Alligator mississippiensis: one gene and its partner. The protein of the gene in region 2 interacts with the protein of the main gene of each other region in a pairwise test. Links are inferred from orthologs where the notes say so. Each region holds a gene or a part of one and is shown on either strand. Other genes may lie near its edges. The genes, in order: UTP25 and MIPOL1.

The links.
Region 1: the proteins of MIPOL1 (region 2) and UTP25 interact in binary tests that used the Homo sapiens proteins (3 or more experiments, as listed by UniProt). The link is inferred for Alligator mississippiensis from reciprocal best matches to the Homo sapiens genes MIPOL1 and UTP25.

What each region holds. Positions count from the first base shown.
Region 1 is NC_081824.1:191,864,513-191,868,427, forward strand, and holds the start of UTP25 (U3 small nucleolar RNA-associated protein 25 homolog), read right to left. Parts: upstream 2,404-3,915; 5' UTR 2,285-2,403; coding exon 2,184-2,284; intron 404-2,183; coding exon 367-403; intron 1-366. UniProt on the Homo sapiens protein: Component of the ribosomal small subunit processome for the biogenesis of ribosomes, functions in pre-ribosomal RNA (pre-rRNA) processing. Essential for embryonic development in part through the regulation of p53 pathway.
Region 2 is NC_081825.1:258,447,611-258,451,525, reverse strand, and holds the start of MIPOL1 (mirror-image polydactyly gene 1 protein), read right to left. Parts: upstream 2,471-3,915; 5' UTR 2,381-2,470; intron 1-2,380.

The DNA of each region.
Region 1 (3,915 bases), on a different chromosome or scaffold from region 2:
TTTATTTTTAACACTCAAGTTTAGAAGTCTAATGGGTTGGTCATCATTATTGCTGAATGAAATGCAAGATATTAAACACTAAGCTTGGGCAGTTTCCATTCAGTGTCACTGCCTGGCTCTCTTGACTTCATACACAGCTGTAAGTCTTGGACTGCAAACTTTGTTTTTGTTTGATTTTAAATATTTTCTTCCATGTTCCCTAGCTGCTCTTAACACAACTGAAAAATTCTGGAACGAGGTTTTTATCTGCAATTTACCCTGAGAGCTAAAATAACTTCATCCTGTCTGACAGCTTCCATTACATCTGTATAATTTGTATAACAGCAATACAAAAGGAGAATATGAAAAACAATTAGAGTATGTTACCAGTTCACAAATTTGAGTGACTTCTCTTCCAGAAACCCTGAAGAAATAAACAGAAATCAATTTCAGTTTTCAATGAGTGCTAGGGAAAAGGGAGTAATCTATATTATCCAAAAGAATGTAAGGACTTTGTTATCCCTTACACTGTGAGCGGCAGAAATGTTGATGGGTGTTAGTGCTAGCTCAATTTTGGAGCCGTCACGTGTTTAGGCCAGCAGGGGCCTGGAAGACTAGAAAAAAAGAATCTCCTCTCCCATTACAGACTTGCCCCCTGCCCCCAGTTTCCCCCTGCCTACTTGTAGCTGCCCAGATGTCTGTCCCAGGGGAGCAGGTAGGGAAGGGTTAACCTGCCAGGCTATCCCTGCAGCTGAGCTGCTGCACTGGTTGGGCAGGCAGGTTAACCCTTCTCTACTAGGAAAGACAGAGCAAGGGCAGCCACAAGTGAGCACAGCGGTGGAGGCAGTAGGGATAGTGAGCAGGGATCTGAGATACTGGAAAGGGTAGGAGGACAGTAGGCTTTATCCAGGCCAGAAGGCGAGGGTAGAGTGGCTATACCATAGCGAAACAGGAGCTGGGTAACATGGATCAGAGATAACACCAGTGGTTCTCAAACTGACAGATTGGGCACCACTAACGTAAAATGATACAACCGTAAGTACCACCAGCACATTTTTCAGTTCAATCTTAAGTATCACCAGCATATTTTTGTCATAAAGTAATTATGATAAATCCATTAACACATACCACCAACAGGGCTGTCTGCATACTACAGCTTGGGAATTGCTGCCCTAGAGTGGTATAACTTTGAGCCATAATAACGAGTGCTTAAAACAAGTTTCAGGTGTTAATGTGCAGACAATCCAGGGGTTATGAGCTCCAGGAGCCACCCAAAATTACCACGCAAGAAGGCCCTCAGTCTCCCTGCAGCTAAAACCAAGTTTGGAGGCTGAAGCCGAGTGCCAGGGGTGAAGTGAGCCATTCAAGAGAAGGCCCCAATAGTGACTGTGAATGACAGGTTTGGGCCAATTGGTTCAGGTGACCAGGCATCATATGATGGCAGCACAGGAAAATGATAGAAAAGTCAGGCTTTGAGGGACCTCCAGAGGTCAACCAGGCCAAACCCCTGCCTGAGGCAGGATCATCCCTACCCCAACCCACAACCTAAACTCTACATAAAACCACTGTCAACAAATCTTACTATAAACCAGTCAACCAATATCATTTCTACATCTGTCTCATGAGAAGGAAGAGGTTGGCTTTAGCACTTCTGTACTGTCAGATACGCAAGAACGAAAAGTGAAATTATTAGAAACGTCTTGAATTTTGTGTTGTGAAACTTGATCACTACCACTGTCCATAAAAGATGGTAGCAACAGCCCTCGAAACCCAATCGTTTTCCTTCTCAAGAGAAAAGTTCCTAGAGCGCTTCTCAGCCTTTTTTTCTGATTTTTCTGGGTCTCCCTCTCACACATAACTGCTACCAGTGAATGCTCCAGTATTCATAACCAGTCTCCAGGGAAATAACCTCATGCCCACCACAGGGAGATGACCTCTGATGGGCATGACCTCATGTCTACCCCCCGGCTGTTGGGAGCCTGACCCAGGCAGGGCGAGCAAGACCCGGCAGCACCAGGGCAGTGGTAGCGAGTAGGTCCATGGCTGTGGAGCCGGACGGCTTGGCCTGGAGGAGCTGTGCCCGCCTCGCCCCAACCAGGCTGCTGGAAGGGCGCCGGCCGCTGCCCGGGGGGGAAGGGGGATTGCAGACTGACGTCACTGCTAGTGCCGATGACGCACTAAACCCACGGGTGGGTCCCACTCACGCGTCGCGGACCGGGTGCTGCTCCCCGAAGTCGCGGAGGTGCCTCTTCTGCCGTTTGCTGAGGCCGGCTAACGCCGGGCCGCGCGCCCGCCGCTTCCCCATGCCGGCCCCGGCCTGGCAACAGCAGGAAAAGGGAGGCACATGCGTCTGCCAGGCACTTTGCGGCTGCTGCGCGACAACGAAGGGGGGCGGGGTTCTCGAGCGCTCGCGTCATGCGCGACGGAGTTCCGAGAGAACTGACGTCGGCCCGGCCCTGCTGTGCCGTCACCCCCGCCCCCCCTCCGCGCCGGAGAGCTTGTCCGTCCCCGCGCGGCCGCCAGGGGCGCAGCGCACGGCTACTTCCTCAGCCCGCGTTGTCTCTGCAAGGCTCCAGGGCCGGCCCCGCGGCCACAGACCCGCCCGCCACCGCCTCTTCCCGGGCAGGACGTCGGTGTAGTACGGGCAGAAAGCCTGCAGCAAGCCGCCTGCGCCAGCGCTCAAAATAGGCGGGCTTGAGGGGCTGAGCCCCCGGGCTGCCCCGCCAGGAGTCGGCGTGGGACTCCAACCCTGGGCGGCCCCCTTACGTTGAGACCGGAGCCACCAGTGTGCCAGGCCTTAAATATAAAACGATCCTATTGGAAGCCCAAAATTATCATATGTGCTGAAAAACGACTGTGCCCATGCAAATAAGTCTCTTACTGACTTTCTGTTGCTCACCGACTCTCCGGTGAGTGAGTGACAACTGGGTCACCAAAGTTGAAGCTTGTCTTTTATTTCGACGCAAGCCGGCATAAGAAAGTGCTGACGGCAAACCGGAGAGTGACTTGTATTTTCTATATGCTGTATCAGTTAACTGCCTCAAAAATGATCGTACCTTTTGAACGCTTTTATCATTATCAATCATACATGGTACAAGAGTTGGAGTTAGGGTATAAGTAGGATGATTAGCGTACACCTGGCAACACTAGGAATGACCTTTCCTGACACAGTAAACCAGCCTGGGGCATGCTCCGAACTGCTGGGGCTGTGCCGCTGCCACTGTTGTGGGTATCCTGGCTGGTTCATGTAGAGCTAGCTTGGGTGTCTCTGCAGTAGTGGGATCAGGGCTGCCGCTGTCTAAATTTTTGGATAGTCCATTAAAAAAAAAAAGGCTTCAAATGCTAGTCTGTAAAATCCACTAGATAAAGTTGAGCCATTTGTAAAAAAAAGTTTCAAAATCATTAACTTGATTGAAGATGTGCCATCAGAATGAGGCTGGATGCAAGTGTTATGGACAGAGCAGAGCAGTGCCACCTTGTGTTTCACAGTGCAGACAGAAGTGCAGCTCCCAGCTGTAACTCAGAGCCTTTTCCGCCATTACCCCAGGACCAAAGAGAAGTTCATTGTTGGCTCCAGGGGAAGGGGAATCTAGCTGTGGGCTAGGAGCCTGCAGCCAGGTTCCCACAACAATGGCCATGGCTCTCTGCCAGTGCTCACTGTTGTCATAATGGGAGGGACAAAAGGCAGCAAAGGGAGCTTGTTCTTGGGGCTCCCCAGCTGGTGCTGAAGGGTGGGGTGGGTGAATTGGAGCTCCCCCTCCCCTCTGGGGAGCTCCAATACACCTGCCCCACCCTCGAGGGGGGGGGGGGGCTGAAACCACCCCAAACTGAACTTCCTCCACTCCCTTTTCCTCTTCCCATTCTGAAAACAGTGACAGCCTGGGAGCTCTGCAGACACAAGTTACAAAAGACACTGTATTTTTAAATGCCTTCATC
Region 2 (3,915 bases):
AACTAGAAAAAAAAATAAAAGTGATCAGTCCTATGTTAAGCAAGGGATGGGCTGGCTATCTTGCTACTGCAAGCCTTTCCCTCCCTTAAACTCTATGAGCTCCTATACACGTGCAGGGAGCCTGCTCCAACATGCTGTAACTCCAGTGCATCGGTGCAGATTGGATTAATTGAGTCTGCTGGAGCAGGGACATTAATGCACTCTAGCAGTGTCACGTGCATCAGCATCCCCATACTGAAACATGGCAGCTGGGCACTTTGAACTAAAGCTTATTCAACAAGCTTTAGTTCAAAGAGCCTCACTGCTATTTTTCAGCACAGGGAAATTGATACGGGTGATGCTCTGGGTGCTTTTTAAAGCACCCCCATGCCTCCTGGAGCACATGCATCAATGCCCTATGTATCTCATTATATTTGAATCCCTCCCTCTTGGCTTTCTATTTAACAACTGTCATTGCAACAGCTTCTCTTCAGCCACAGGGGAGGATGCAAATCTTCGTAATATGAGATTGGGATCAATTCTGGGCCCTGTACCAGCTAGTAACAGGCATCAGAGGTGATAATTATCTTCCCTGAGCCTAAAATCATGCCACCTTTGCTATACAGCAAGACCTTGATAATTTGCATTAACAACCAGGAGACAATTGTAAATAAATTAAATATTGTAAATTAATATGTAAAAGCAAGACTACATTACTCAACAAATAACTTTCATTTGACAGTTTTGGCTTAGTTTTAATTACCTTAAAATTCATGAACTAGTTACAAATAACTACTTTGGTAGAGTTTATAAGTAACCGATGTTGTAACCTACGGCCATTCTATAGCCCTCTGCTATTAATTCTATACTGGAAAGTGTGGAGAAATAGCGGTCGCAACAATTTTTCACAATAAGGATCAGCAGGCTTCTGCTGCACCTTATCTCCACTAATTCCCATGTCCCCAGGCCCAGATCCCAAAGTCAGTACAGATCTGGATGACTAGGGTAGAAACACTTTAATAGTCTTCTGGAATTGCAATGGTTCTAAAAGAAACCCTCAGCATACATGCCCCTTTTACTTTCCCCTCTTCCCCACATTGATAAGACATTGCCCCAAAACCTCAGCCCATAGCAGATTGATTGAGTTTCAATTTGTTTTAGGAACATTACCTAATGAATTCACATGGGTGTGAGAAAGTAGATAAGAAAGCATTTCTCCTATTACACAGATTGGGAAACTCAAATAATAATATTAGCTGCTTGAATCAATACACCATTTTAAAATCTGAACTTTTTAAGAGAATGAAGAAAACTGTTTTTATGTGGTTAACTGTTCTTTGTGTCATGGAGTACCACCAATACACTACTCCAAAGAATTCATTACTGACCTTCCCAACTCATGAGTTTATAGGGTAAAGGCCTTCTTTCATTGTCCACAGTAATTCAACAAATCCAGTTCCTACCCTCTGAAACAGCTCACCAATCTTTTCCACACCACAGCTATTACTATCCTTATACAAAATATTTTTCCTAGTACCATTACTTCTTAATGTCTTTCTTGATTTTTATAGCAAGTGTGGTGACTTGAGCACTGTATAAAGACCCCTGTGGAAGGAAGCCTTCTATTCCCAGGGCAACTAATGACAGTGCAAGAATCCTTATGCTCCCCTGCCATTGTGCTTCACAGGAGGCTAGGACTGAGCATCTTCAGAGCAGTGAATAATTTGGTTGCTACAAGCCAAAGCCTCTAACTCAACGGATCCCAAACTGTGGGCTGCCGGGTTTAACTTATGGGAGAGCCCGGGAGAAGGCCTGAGCCCCCTGCCCCCCATAAGAGACAAGAGCCCCCCTGTAAGATTTGAAAATCATAACCTGAGGGGGTCTCAGATTTTATTAAGGCATTGTGATGGGCAGCTCCATTTTTTTTGCAGACTCAAAGTGCATTTTGAACCCTGGGGGACTCCAGCCCCAAATGGGGTCACAACATCAGCAGATGGGGCAGCAGGGCTGGGGGGCCATGGGTTGGGAGTGGGGGCCATGCTGAGGAAAAGTTTGGGAACCACTGCTCTAGCTGCTGTGCTGGCACTTCACAGCTGCAGCCTTTCCTTCTGATATGCGTATTAAGAAACTGAGGGAGACCATCAGTACTTACAGGCCTTAATTCTCTTAACTGGGGGTGGGTGGGAGTAACTTGTAGGCAAGGCACCGCAAGCTGCAAAGTGGTCTTGTATAACAGGTGCCTTTACTGAGCGCAGGGCACGAGCAGAAGTTCCCTGTTGCCCGGTGCCCACACCCGTCCCATGGGCACAGCGGGTGAGCGAGCCCTTCCTGCAGCTCCTGAGAGCAAGTGCCATCAGAGGGCGAGCCCCCCTCCCCGCCAGCTGCCCGGCGAGCCCGTTACCTGCGTCCTCCTCCCGCGGCTCGTGCCAGGCGCCCCGAGGGAGACGCTGCTCCGCGTGTGCAAGCAGCCCTGGGCGCCCGCAGGCTCGGGCAGCGGCAGGCCGAGGAGGGCGCGACGCAGCCCGCCAGGGCACGCAAGGACGAGCAGGAGCAGGAGCAGGAAAGGAGGGCCCAGGCCGAGCGAGGAGGCGGAGCTGGAGCTGCAGCGGCCGGCCAGGAATCCGGTCAGCTGGTCGCGCCTGCTGGGGAGCCGGGAAGCAGTTGGGGCTAGTCTGTCGCTCGCCCGGGGGCGGGAGGCAGAGCCGTGGTACTCCTTGGAGATGGATCCGGGGAAGGAGCTGGAGCTGGAGCTGGCGGGCTTTGCATCTCCCTGGGAGCGGGAGGGCCAAGCGCCTGCGAGGTGTTTTGAGGCACTTGGTGAGAAGGTTACGGGCGCGGAGATCGTAGGAAGTCTGCGGCGTCGCGCTTGGAAGGCGCGGATCTCTGCCGCGCGCCGGGGCTGGAAAATGAGGGGGAAATATTCACTGATCGTTTACTGAACAGCTCCGGGGGGGTCAGCAAGTAAACCATTTGCGGATCCTTCCTGCTGTTATAGAGGCTGGTTTTGTGTCCCAGAGGTGTAGGCGATGCGGTGCTGGGGGAGGAGAGGGGTCGGGTAAAATGCCTTTGGTTTTCAGTGCTTTGGGGACAGTGCCCGGTGGCAGCAGAGGCTGTTTGGCGGGGGAGGCACGGGGGGACTCGCGGGGTATGTAGCCAGTGGGAAAAGGTTTGTAAATTGACTCCCTGCAGGGCTGTGTAATCAATCGTCTTCCAGGCCTCTGACACTTGCTGGGAATAATTTGGATGTGTCTGTTTCACTGCTGAAGTTTTGTCTTTAATGATGCTGTGTTTGTGTTTCTAATAACAGACGTCTCTCCGTGTAACTCCCTGCACTTTGCCTGCTGCTTTATTTTAAATGTTTTAATGATTCTGTCCACGTGGCGCAGCCTCACTGCACAAATGCCCTTTTTGCTGTTGTGGCACCCACTGAGGAATACAAGATCTGATCCGTGACAGGGCCTTCATCTGATGAAGTGCTACAATGAGTCCATCCTGATCCCATGTCTGTTATCCGTATCAAAGTGAACAGTACAGAACATACTCTCTATTCCTAGAACAAAATTAAGAGATGCTCTGGTAGCTTTTTTTTTTCAACAAGCCACTGGGGTATTTATTGAGCAGTGTTGTCCCTGAGCAAAAACAAGGGAATAAATGCAAATGTTAACAAAACATTAATGCTGAGATGTTAATTATGTGAAGGTCAGCACGTTCAAATTTTATTATTTTAGAGGAGCTATTCTATATTCCTGCCACAATCATTACTCCACTTTTATAACATGAATAAGTTCAAGTTACTATTTGTTTTCTGATAAGTACAAGGGAATCAAGTTACATTTGCAGCAGGAACACGTTTGAATTTCCATATTTTTGTGCAATTTAAATCTCAATCTTTACCACTGTGTTAGCATCTTTTGCATGATTCTCTACATGTTTGCA